3 linked regions of the Mus musculus genome follow. The protein of the gene in region 3 interacts with the protein of the main gene of each other region in a biochemical or structural test. Links are inferred from orthologs where the notes say so. Each region holds a gene or a part of one and is shown on either strand. Other genes may lie near its edges.

What was found.
Region 1: of the proteins of Amfr (region 3) and Cyp3a13, one has a biochemical effect on the other in vitro, tested with the Homo sapiens proteins (4 studies listed by BioGRID). The link is inferred for Mus musculus from reciprocal best matches to the Homo sapiens genes AMFR and CYP3A4.
Region 2: of the proteins of Amfr (region 3) and Herpud1, one has a biochemical effect on the other in vitro, tested with the Homo sapiens proteins (6 studies listed by BioGRID and IntAct, with this or other methods). The link is inferred for Mus musculus from reciprocal best matches to the Homo sapiens genes AMFR and HERPUD1.

The regions. Positions count from the first base shown.
Region 1 is NC_000071.6:137,918,795-137,922,943, forward strand, and holds the start of Cyp3a13 (cytochrome P450 3A13), read right to left. Parts: upstream 2,826-4,149; 5' UTR 2,719-2,825; coding exon 2,648-2,718; intron 299-2,647; coding exon 205-298; intron 1-204.
Region 2 is NC_000074.6:94,384,964-94,389,253, forward strand, and holds the start of Herpud1 (homocysteine-responsive endoplasmic reticulum-resident ubiquitin-like domain member 1 protein), read left to right. Parts: upstream 1-1,465; 5' UTR 1,466-1,628; coding exon 1,629-1,775; intron 1,776-4,290. UniProt on the Homo sapiens protein: Component of the endoplasmic reticulum quality control (ERQC) system also called ER-associated degradation (ERAD) involved in ubiquitin-dependent degradation of misfolded endoplasmic reticulum proteins.
Region 3 is NC_000074.6:93,974,532-93,978,177, reverse strand, and holds part of Amfr (E3 ubiquitin-protein ligase AMFR), read left to right. Parts: intron 1-2,009; coding exon 2,010-2,144; intron 2,145-3,358; coding exon 3,359-3,442; intron 3,443-3,646. UniProt on the Homo sapiens protein: E3 ubiquitin-protein ligase that mediates the polyubiquitination of lysine and cysteine residues on target proteins, such as CD3D, CYP3A4, CFTR, INSIG1, SOAT2/ACAT2 and APOB for proteasomal degradation.

The sequences.
Region 1 (4,149 bases), on a different chromosome or scaffold from region 3:
GTCAGAGAGCTGAGCATCTGTGCCAAACAGGATTCTCCAAAGACCAACAGCAAAGCCTTGGGGAAACTTATCTTGCTTCACGTCGAAGCCAAATAATGGTTTCTGAAATTCTACCTCAGTTTCTACTCAAGGGAATTAATGGAACTAAGCCAGTCTTGGTAACCACAAGAAGCAAGGTAGGGGGCTCAAGGAACACTCACTCACCTTCTGGTAAGCAAGAATCGTCCCCAAGAAAGGCAGAGGTTTTGGCCCAGGAATTCCCAACTTTTTAAAAATTCCATGTGAATGAGTTCCATATCTATGAAGCAAAAAAGAAAGCTAGTACATGGGATTGCATTTTGTCGTGGCTCACCAGTCATGGATACAGGCACCATAGAGTTCAAACAAAGGAGGCAACATGTAGCCAACAGCAATGACTATTTTTGGTCTTCACTTCTCTTGAATTCTCTGTGGGGCCCCCAAAGACCACAAAGGTTATCTTAAAAGGCAAGTAAAACATTTGTGCTCTAAATCCTAAAGTTAATCATTAATAAGCGCCTGTAGCTTGAGTTTGGGTGTCCATGTGAATTCTTATTTGCTGTTTCTTTCACTTGCTTTTATTTAGGAAACTGATTGGATGCAATTCATCTGTCCTTCTAGTGATCTCCAGAGGGATCCATGCCCCACAAGTGTATTTGAAAATTCTCTCCTGAGAGAAGAGGAATATTCTCCACTTCCTGCCAACTCATACCTGAAGGTATTCTATTTCATCATTGACCCATCCTCTTCCTTACTCATCTATACTAAGGGATTAGCATGGACTGACAAACGGGTATATCAAACACTGATAAAAAATTTAACAACCTAATAACCAAGTTTGTTTCAAAGCATACATGCAATCTATACACTGTATTTGTTTGTGCATTATGCTCACATTTCTGACACTCTTATAAACAGATGAAGTTATTGTAAAATTGTCACAAATATTGAAAGCAACAGATCCACTTTAACCTTTTGAAAGAAGGTCCTGGGATTATCGTAAATAAATTCTAGGGATGAATAAAAGGGAATGAAAGATTTCAGTTAATAGTAAAATATCATCAGATGGAAAAGGTGTTGTCATAATACCTTAAATACTTACTATTACTTTAAAGAATAAAACCAAGTTTGAATTTTTCATTTTCACATTATTGTGAGTGTGTACCTTTTCTTCAAGTCAAATGGTGACAGAAGTCAACTATGGTGTGTGTGTGTGTGTGTGTGTGTGTAAAAGAAGAGCATCTACTACCTACAGACTTACACACACACACACACACACACACACACACACACACACATACACACAATCACACACAGGGGTGATTAGAGCAGTGGTTCTCAACCTTCCTAGTGTTGTAACTCTTTAATACAGTTCCTCCTGTTGTTATGATCTACAACCATAAAATTATTTCATTGCTATTTCATAACTGTAATTTTGCTACTGTTATGAATCATGATGTAAATATCTAATATTCAGGATGCCTGATATGTGACTCTTGTGAAAGGGTCCATTGACCCTCAAAGGACTGAGACTTCACAAGTTGAGAACCACTGCCGTAGAATGAGCTGGGCGGGGTAGTCATCTATGCTTTTAATCTTGGAACTCAAGATAACCTTTCTCCTCCCCTCACTTGTACTACTACACAGGAGTCCATTCATTAGAAGGTAGTCCTGAGATGGGTGTTTTCGCTGATGCTCACCAGAGGAACTTAGAGAAAAATATTTAGCATCCTAACTGTTTCAAAGTTCCTGCCCTTTGAGGATGCCAGGAGATTTCATAGCAGGGAAGGAGGAACTCCTTATACTTATGCTAGGGTCTTTGACAGGAAATGGTGAAGGGAAAGAATCAAAGTCAGGTCTTCTTTGCTCCGAAGAGTCGTCATTTATGGGAGCTAGAGAGGTAGCTCAGTGGTTAAGAACACTTCTTGCTCTTCAGAGGACCAGGGTTCAATTCCCAGCATCCACATGGTGGCTCACAGCCATCTGTAACTCCAGTTCCAAGGGATACACCGTCTTTTGCTGACATCCATGGGCACCAAGCACTCATGTAGTACACATGCATGCATATATGCAGGCAAAACACTCACAAAAATAAAATGATCAAACGTAATATACTAGGGGCATTGTTAAAATAGTCCTAGAGGTGGGACAATGAAGCAGAATGTGTACATATAACAATACTCCACGTTTCCTGCATCAGAGAAAACAGGTGAAGACAACACAAAAGCTCTTCCCATCCCCACAATACCAACAATCCTGAGACCTTGAAGAAGAAGCCTTCCATCAAACACAGTGACCAGCTTCTTGTAACCTGCTTTACTGAGCCCTGGGTGGTTAATCTGGTGAAAAGGTGAGACTCAATTGGAGAATAACCCAGGTCTAACTGAGGTCACTCAAACCTCCTATCCACAAAAACTGGAGTTTAGTAGAAGAGGAATGTATACTTACTTACCCCATAGGAGGGATTTGCATAGGACCAAAAGCAATACCTTAACTCTTTGTACAGCCCACACTCAATGTCCCCTTCATATTCTCTTTGGATTTTCCAAGCCAGTAAAGGAAAGAATTATCTGACTTGCATCCCCCAAGTCCTGCTCACTAAGAAGAGGAGCCTGGGCAGTTTACTCACAAGTAGAGAAGGACCAGGCTGGTAGCCAGGAGCATCCAGGTTTCCATGGAAAAGTTTGGGATCAGGTCCATTGCTGTTTTCTTTAAACAAGTCTCTCTCCAAGTTGTACTCTCAATTTTGTGTGCTGCACCTTTCAGGGCTGAGCCTGCTGAGCTCCCTTCCCTGCCCAGCTGTTTGTGACTCAGGAAAGCCACCCTGAAGAACTTAAGTACAGGGAAAGAGGTGGGGCTGAAATTGCAGCCAATGAACAGACCTACAGTTCTGAGTCAAGTGTACTCTCCACCCTAGCAGTTGGCAAAGAATCATGGGTGTGCCCACTTGAATCTTTGAATTCATTTGGTAAGAAATATCGACCAAAACTGAGGCCAGTGTTATCATTATCACTGAGTACAAAGGTTATTGCTTCTTATCAGAAACTCAGGTGAAATCATTGGCATTCTATAGCATTTCTGTCCTAGTTCGCTTTCTGTCATTGTGGGAGAGAGAGAGAGAGAGAGAGAGAGAGAGAGAGAAACCAGAATGACCAAAAACAACTTGGGGAAAAGGTTCATTTTGTATTACAACTTAGAGTCCATCATGAAGGAAAGTTAGGACAGAAAGTCAAGGTACATATCTGAAGACAGCAACTGAAGCAGAGCCCACAGCTAACTAATGCTTCCTTCTTTCTCCTTATGGCTTGCTCAGCCTTCTTTCTTTTTTTCCTTTCCTTTCCTTTCCTTTCCTTTCCTTTCCTTTCCTTTCCTTTCCTTTTCTTTTTCTTTTCCTGGGACTAACTCAAGTGCTCTGGGAGGACAGAATGCTTTCTTAGCCACTGAGCCTTTCTCCAGCCTTTCAGGTTCCTTTCTTATCAAACCCAGAAGCACCTGCCTAGAGGTGACACTACCCACTGTGGTCTGGGCCCTCTCACATTAATCATTAATCAAAAATATTTCCCCACAGAGGTGCCTACAGGCCATTCTGGTGGAAGCAATTTCTGAACTGTGATTGCCTCTTCCTGGATATGACTAGGTTTGTGTCAACTTGAAAAAAGCTAAACAACCTTCTGTCCTTTTGTCCTAAGCTGCTTTAATTGCCAAGAACTTGAAATCCACCCAAATAAACACATGAAATGACCCAAAACAAGCTGATTCTTCAAAAAAGAGAGAGAGAGAGAGAGAGAGAGAGAGAGAGAGAGAAACCCTTAGGTAATCTGACAAAAAGAAAGAGGGGGAAGACACAAATTTTAAAAATTAGAGATGAAAAGGTATCATTATAACTGACTCCAAAGAAACCCAGAAGTTCATGAGGCTGCTGTGAAAAACTGTACTCAGGAAATCTGGATAATCCGAAAGAAATAGAAGGATTTCTAAATGCATGTCTTCCTCCAGATAGATTACAAACCATGAGATCCTAATCAAAATCTTCCCATCAAAGAAAGCCACAGGACCCAACAGATCTCCAACAATCTCATACCCTTCCTCTTACCTTGTTCCATGATGTAGAAAGTGAAGGTCCATTGCCAA
Region 2 (4,290 bases), about 410 kb from region 3:
TTCTGAAGATCTGCCTGCTTCTGCCTCCTGATGCAGGCCTTTATGTTGTAACACCACACTGGCCTCAGTGGTCTTCAACATAAAACCTGGGAAGGAAAGCAGCTGAGGTTCTGCGGCGTGTCCCTGGTGGACCACTGGCAAATGCCGCTGCGGTGAGGTGCAGGGTGTCCTCCAGAGAGACGCTGACGTCTCAGCCCCAGAATGTGATGGCATTTAGAAATATCTTTGTGAAAGATAATCGTTAAGATGAGGTCTTTAGCCACGACAATGCGAATGATACCCTTATAAAGGGGGCAGGGGAGAGACTGGACAGAGATACGCATAAAGATGATGCAGATACACTCACACCCGTGTATGTGCACGCACACAGGTGCACACCCGGAGAATGCCATGTGATCGGAAAGCTCGAGATTGGAAAAATACTCCCCAAAGCTAAGAAGTCCCAAGGACAGTTAGCAAACCTGCAGAACTTAGGAGAGTGGTACAGATTCTGCCCCCAAAGAAAGCAATGCTGCCCTAACCCCTGGTCGCAGACTTCCAGCCTCTACAGCTTCAAAATAAACTTCTGTTGCTCGAGCCTCCAGTTTACGACACTTTCTTATGGTTGTGTGACAAACTCACATAACCATCTCCCGAACAGGACTCTCCTATCACCTCTCTGACCTCTGTAAGCTCTGGACATGGCTGAAAACCCAGGTATCCCAACAGGATTGGGACAAAGATGGGCCGGAGCAATGCCAGTTTTGTTTTTCAAACTCAGAGGAAACACTGGAGCACTGCCTCTGGTCAGATTTCAGGTATCTGAGACCACTGCTGTGCTTGTCGCAACCCCAATTTAAAAGCAGCAGATGTTGTTAGTTCATAAATGATGACCCTTTCCAGTGTCTCCTAGAGGGTTTGTCAATCAAGAGGCACTTAGTGCCATTACTATAAGGGGTATGTTCCACACTTGATGCATCGTTAAATTTGCTGCAGGCACATTGGAAAGTGCCCGAATCCTTCATCCTCTCAGCTCAGAGCAACACAGGCCTGGTTTCTCTTCGCTTCTAAGGCCTGGTTAGTTCGTAAGGCTTCCCTGGATGCCAGGCTGCGCAGCCACCAGGGAAAATGCAAGCGGACAGACGTATGCCCAGGCGCCTGGGGTCAGAAAGGGCGGAGGGCCGCTTTGTGAGGGCACAATTTGCAGAGCCTGCTGATCTTGGGAGTCAGGCAGGCCGCCAGGCTCAGGCACCGCACGCATCCCGCGCTAAGGAGCCTGAACAGGACCAGCGCCCCAGAGGGCACCCTGACATGGCCGCCGAAGACCCGCTCCCGCGCCGCTGTCGGGACTCAGGATGACGCAACCACGGCGGGTTGCATCAGCCCGCACCCCCGCGCTTAGCCCGCCTCTCCGCCGCCTTTCTCCGGGCGCTGATTGGGCCACGTTGGACACTGACCTCTGTCTCAGCCAATGGATGGCAGCCACAGAGAGCGCTATCTGCGGAGCCCTGGCACGGGGCGCCCATAAAAGGTACCCGAGACGGGGGCGCGTGTCCCAAAGACGCCAAGTGTCGTTGTGTGGTCTCAGACGGCTGCGTCGCCGCCCGTTCGGCATCCCTGAGCGCAGTCGAGCCGCCAGCGACGCAGACATGGAGCCCGAGCCACAGCCCGAGCCGGTCACGCTGCTGGTGAAGAGTCCCAATCAGCGCCACCGCGACTTGGAGCTGAGTGGCGACCGCAGTTGGAGTGTGAGTCGCCTCAAGGCCCACCTGAGCCGAGTCTACCCCGAGCGCCCGGTGAGTGGGACCCCGGGGTGCCACGCCTGCAGGGTTGCCTGAACTCACCTGTCACACACCACAGGGCGCGAGTCTCCTTCCTGCCCAACCGTCTCCTGTGCCCCTCTGCTCGCCCTAGCGCTTGTCATCTCTTCTGGGCCTCCACCAGTCCGCGCTTGCCCTCTTCTAGCCCCTCATCTCTTCACCTCCCATTACACCTAACTCCCAAGGCTGTCACACATCTGCCCCACGTCCCTGTACCCTCTCCTCATCCTCCCAGGGAAACAGTAATTTGACCTTAATGAGTCATTTCCCCATCCGAGTCCCAGTGACCCTCCACAAACTACTAGGTGACTGACTGGGTGTTCCCAGTTCGGCTTGCATCTGATGGGTAGAAATAAGAAAAGTAAATGTTGCCAAACGAGACTTCTGGGTGTACCGAGGACAGACAGTATATGTGCCAGATTGGGCCATTGGCTAGAGGGTGGGGTGCGTGCCCAGTCACCAACTTCTGAAGGTCCCACGCCCATAGGCTAGACATGGCTCTTCTCCTGCAGCCTTCCGTTGACCGCCCCTCCCTGTCGCGCCGCACTTAGTCTCGGGGAGGAGCCCCCTTAACTTTCTAGCGAAGGATGACTGAGAAAGGAAGCCAGCAGCTGGAGTAGCCCTGAGTCTGATTTGACGACAACCGTGGGTCAGTTAGGAGACTTTCTTGTTCCGTGGGGTTCCCCACCCCTCCCCCTCCCCCTTTGGTTGACACATCTGTCAACAGCTCCCTAGCCCCGCCCACCCCTCCGGTCCCTGCCACGTGACGGAGGCTGTGCGCTGGACCTTCCTGTATTTACTTTGTTCTCTGATGTTATGTAAGTGTCCACGAGTACAGTTCTGGATCCGACAGGAGAGGGCAATCGGGTGGCTGCAGATGGGGACTTTGAACAGTGGCCTTAGAGCTCCAACCGGCAGTGGCGCGTGGGTTTCAGTTTGTTTTTGTTCCGAGTTGTCGGGAAAGTAAACAAGGCTTTTCCTTTTAGAATTGGCGAGGAACTTTATCACTTTGGGTGTAAGCGTCTAAGCCCCTGGAACTGGTCGGGGCAGTGTGTAGGATCTCCGTGGTTGTTTTCAAGAAACCAGGTGTTCTTGTTGGGAGGTGGCAGTTAGGTGCATAAATGATGCTCCTGTCGGGTCAGGTTGCATCATTTGTAAAAGCTGTTTTGAGGCCTGTTTTCCTCAGGTGAGGAACATTGGGCCCCTTGGATTTGAAGACCTAAGCTGGTAAATACCAGTAGGTCTCCTGGGTGTACAAATCTGTACCTTACAAAAATACCGGGAATGGACGCAGTGGTGCGCTTCTGTAATATGTCACTGGAGAGGCCAAAGCAGGAGGAGCATGTCTTGCAGACTGGGCTATACATAGTGTGAGTCTCTCAGTAATTAAAGAAGAAGGCATGTTCATGGTTTTTTTTTTTTTTTTTTTTTTCTGTAGTAGTACTTATCATTGGGTGATGATAAAAGTTTATAATAGTTATTTGCTTAACATTTTATTTTCAAATTGGCCTTCCAGGTGAGGACAGAGGGTCAGTTTGGTTTTTACCATTTGCTGGTGGTTGGCTTCACATTTAGAACAGCATTTTGCAAATTGGTGTGCACAGCATTTGTCAGTAAAGCAGTCCAAACAACATGGAACACAGCATCCAATATGTGTTTTAGGTGTAGTGTCAAAAGTCCTAATGGATGTTGATAAGAAGATGAAGGCTTCCTAATAGTCTGAGGCTGGCCATAAACTCTTGTTCTTTCTGCCTCTACCTCACCATGTGCCAGGCTTGTGGGCATGTGCCACCATGCCTAGGTGGATACAGTTTTCCTGGTCTTTTGGGGAGCAGCGTTTTGAGATAGGGCCTCTCTAGCCAGATTTGCTTGCAGCTCATTCATATCCCGGGATGGCCTCAAACTTCTGCCTCAGTTACCCTTGTGCTGAGAGTCTAGATATGAGCCCAGGTTTTTTTAAAATTTAATTTAATTTTTATTTCAGGCTGTTTGGAAGGAACATCTTAATTCCAAGTTTTGCTTAGTGGGTTATTCTGTTGTGCAGGCTGGTGACCTGTGGGGTGGTAGCCATTATTTGAGGCCATTGCTTTTAAGGACATACTTTTAAAAATATGGCTTAGGAGAAATTTAAAAATTGATTTTAGAGATGAGAATTATATAAAGGCATATGGACTCCGTGTCCTTAAAGTCACTGGTATAGAGGAGAATATATGGGTTGGACTCTTGATTCTAGCAGCAGGTAATATCGGGTGGCATGGAAGAAGACTGACCAAAAGTAAATTGAGTTTTCTCTGGCTTTAGAGTTCATTGCTGCCAAAGCACGAAATACAATTTGTGTTTTTAGTAGCAGAAAGAAGTTTCCCTGTGAATAAGAAGTAAAGTGTGTGGCATAGTTTTTACGAGCTAGGGGGTTATTTGCCTCCCAAATTTATTTGCATATTTGAGATTAAAGTCAAGCACTTCCTAAATAAACGTTTTATATATGAGAATT
Region 3 (3,646 bases):
ACGAATTTACTGGAACTATGCATTTTTAATTAAAATCTAGTATTTAACTGACTGGATTTTCTGGTAGAAAGATTTATGATAGAAAGTTCAATAAAATGGATCCAGCTTTGTTTCCCTTTTTCTTTTCCTCAATTGGTGGAGAGCTAGGTGAGGAGGGGAGAATGCTTGTAGAGACTCTTCCCACTTTGCTTTGATTTGATTGGGATAAAATGTTCCTTCCAGTCCACATGCTGTGAGGGGGTCTCCAGTGATGCGGAGCCTTGGGCCCTCTGGGCACTGAACATCTTGCCATTGTCTCTCCCAAGTGACTCAGCAAAGCTCTGGACAGTTTTCACCTGAGCTGCTCTTTCAGTTGCAGTGCTGAGACACAAGCCATCACGTGCAGTTTGTGATGCTGTGCTCCTTTGAAACTGACATCCAGGCTGGGCAGTGGTGGCACACACCTTTAGTCCCAGCACTTGGGAGGCAGAGGCAGGCGGATTTCTGAGTTCCAGGCCAGCCTGGTCTACAGAGTGAGTTCCAGGACAGCCAGGGATATACAGAGAAACCCTGTCTCGAAAAACCAAAAAAAAAAAAAAAAAAAGAAAAGAAAAAAGCAAAACAAACAAAAAAAGAAAAAAGGAAACTGACATTCAGTCGTACTCCAAGGCAGTGGTCTTTCCTGCTTCTTCCTCTCTCTTTTCTCTCTTGCTCTGTAAATTATGGAGATTTTTCTACAATACAAACCTAGAATGCAAGCATTTATAAAATATATTTATATGTATAAAACACATGCATGTGTTCACACACACAAGTTTTGAGGTGCTTGAATGGAAGTATGGATGAATTTGAAGTATGGATGGAAATTTATGTATTTGTCCTGTACACACATGGCTAAACCTCTAAGTGTGTGCAGTGATGGATCTAGAGCATTGTTTGAAAATTGTAGTTCTGAGGCAGTACTAGATATTTTCATAATCCTAGTATGTACCCAGGTTGGTATTGAACTTATAGATCCTCCTGCCTCTGCCTCTGGGTGCTAGAGTGAGAGTGGCATGTCACCATGCCTGGCTAAAAATTGACTTTTATAAATTAAAAAGATGGGCTGGAGAGATGGCTCAGTGTTAAGACCACTGACTGCTCTTCCAAAGGTCCCGAGTTCAATTCCCAGCAACCACAAGGTGGCTCACAACCATCTATAATAGGATCTGATGCCCTCTTCTGGTCTGTCTGAAAATAGCTACAGTGTACTCATACACAAAATAAATAAATCTTAAAAAAAAAAGTTTATAAATTAAAAAATATATTTTACGTTTTGCATATAGAAACTTACATTCTTTAATTCTATTTTTTAAAGTTGCGCTTATTATTTGTATGCAGTAAAAATGTGCTTTGGTTAATCTCAAGTTTAGCTCACACAGCTGTGTAGACTTAATCTAACAAGAGTCAGAGTGGCTCTGCTGCTCCTCTCTGTGGGTCCAAGGTTCTTTTGAGGTCAGTTTCTCCCCAGCCAGGGCCTCCTGCCTGCTAGACAAGCTCCTGAGCAGAACGCCCAGCCCCACATTGCTCTGCTTTCCCTCTCCCTGTGCCTGTTTCCAGATGTCATCTAATGGAGTCCCAGTCTGGCTCTCCCTTGGCATAGTGGATATGAATACTACACATGCTGTGTCTGAACATCGAACTTTAGAAGGATCCTGTTAGCTTAGGATACACGTAGGTAGATACTGGCACACATAAAGTCATCAAATAGATCTTTAAAGCCAGAAGATACTCTGACTTGACCCTTTCTTGAGATACTACTAGATTTCTGTCTGCTCTTTACTTTGAAATTGCTGGTATCCCAGAAGTCTAGTACCCTACAACAATAAAAAGAAAGCAGTGTGCAGGTGATCTGCTGAGCCAAAATGGCCTTTACCTGTGCTTTCAAGATAATGATGTCAGCCTCTGTGTCCAGGGCCTGCCAAGTGTGCGTACTGACCCTCAAATCTGCTGAGAGTGACCTTTGCTGTGTGTCCTTCATGTTTCTCTAGGCTCATCAGATTCAGGAGATGTTCCCTCAGGTCCCGTACCACCTTGTGCTCCAGGACCTCCAGATGACACGCTCCGTGGAGATAACAACAGATAACATCTTAGAAGGACGGATTCAAGTACCTTTCCCCACGCAGGTAAAACTGGAGCTTTATGCCTAACAAATGTATTTTATTTTTACAAAGAATTAGTCCTAACACCTAAATATTATTTATAATTTGAGGAAGGGTTTATATGAATTTCATTTCATTCAAATCTTTCATGAGAACAGATTAACCAAAGGTAAATACAGATAATCCAAGTACATTTTATGCAGAAACATACCCCAAATCAGCTTTCCCTCACTGCAGGTCTGTACCGGGACGCCATTGGCTCCTGTCAGAGGCTGGCATCTATTTTTGTGAAGAGCAAAGAGTGACTATTTAGGCTCTGCTTGGTCCACAGTCTGCTGCAAATAAAGTGGCCATTGGCAGTGAGGATGTGGATGAGCAAGACTGTGGTCCAGTAAAACATTCTTTGTAGAAGTAGAGAGGGGCGAACATGGGGCTATGGTTTATGGAGCACTGGCACTCCAAGAGAAGGCTGGTTGTACATCATGTGGTGTGTTAGTGACAGTTCACATCTCTCAGGGAGCTGAGGCTTGGACTTTGGACTTCATTAAAAAGGTCAGAGTTTGTGCCTCATCACTCGGCCTCTGAGAGAGGCACAGAAAAAGCAAGAGAGGAGCCTTCAGTAATACTGAGGAATGTAATATAAGGCCAGACAGTCATCTACCAAAAGTTCCTGTGTACAGCCTATAAGTGAACAGAAATATATCAATACAATTCAAAAAGATGAAGCTCTTTTGACGAGTGTAGCCTTTGGAGACAGCTGGGCTAAGGTGCTAGCTATATGGTCCCTTGGGTCTCAGCTCTCTGACCTGATTGTTAGCTGCCTTTGGAGCTGGCAGAGTTGCCTCATATGGCTGGATAGGGCTGTCAGTGAAACACATAAACCAGACAGCAGACATGAAGGTACTCAGACCTTAAGCGATAAAGCCTGTGGGGAGGACCCAGAACATCTCTAGTCTGGAGACTTAATTGCAATGCCTGCTTCAGAGCACTTTAGGAAGGTTATGAAAACCGGGAACAGTGTTTACTCCGCGCAGTTGACCTTTGCCCTTGCTTTTGTTGTGCAATCACTATTATTGAACAGGAAGCTGAATATGGAGCAGTTACTAACTACTCTCAAACATGGAACTCCATGAGGGCCTCCACATCCTTCGTCTCACCTTTCAGGCTGTGAGCTGTGTCGAAAACTGTCACCTGCCCCTTTGTCACCCCACCCTGAATGACTGCATGCTTTCTTTCAGCGGTCGGATAGCCTGAGGCCTGCACTGAACAGCCCAGTGGAGAGGCCCAGCCCTGACCTGGAGGAGGGAGAAGCTTCTGTCCAGGTGAGGTCAGCTTACCAGGAGCTGTGCTGCAGGAGTGCAGCGTGGTCCTGCGTTACTTACGGCCACCTTGCCCTTGGCAGCAACAGCTTAAGGGAAGAGCTGTGTATTCTGGTTAATAGTTGGAGAGAGTTTTAGTCTGTCACAGTGGGGAGGTGTGCTGGGGTAGTTGAGTTCATGGTGACCAGATCTTTTGATGGAGGAAAT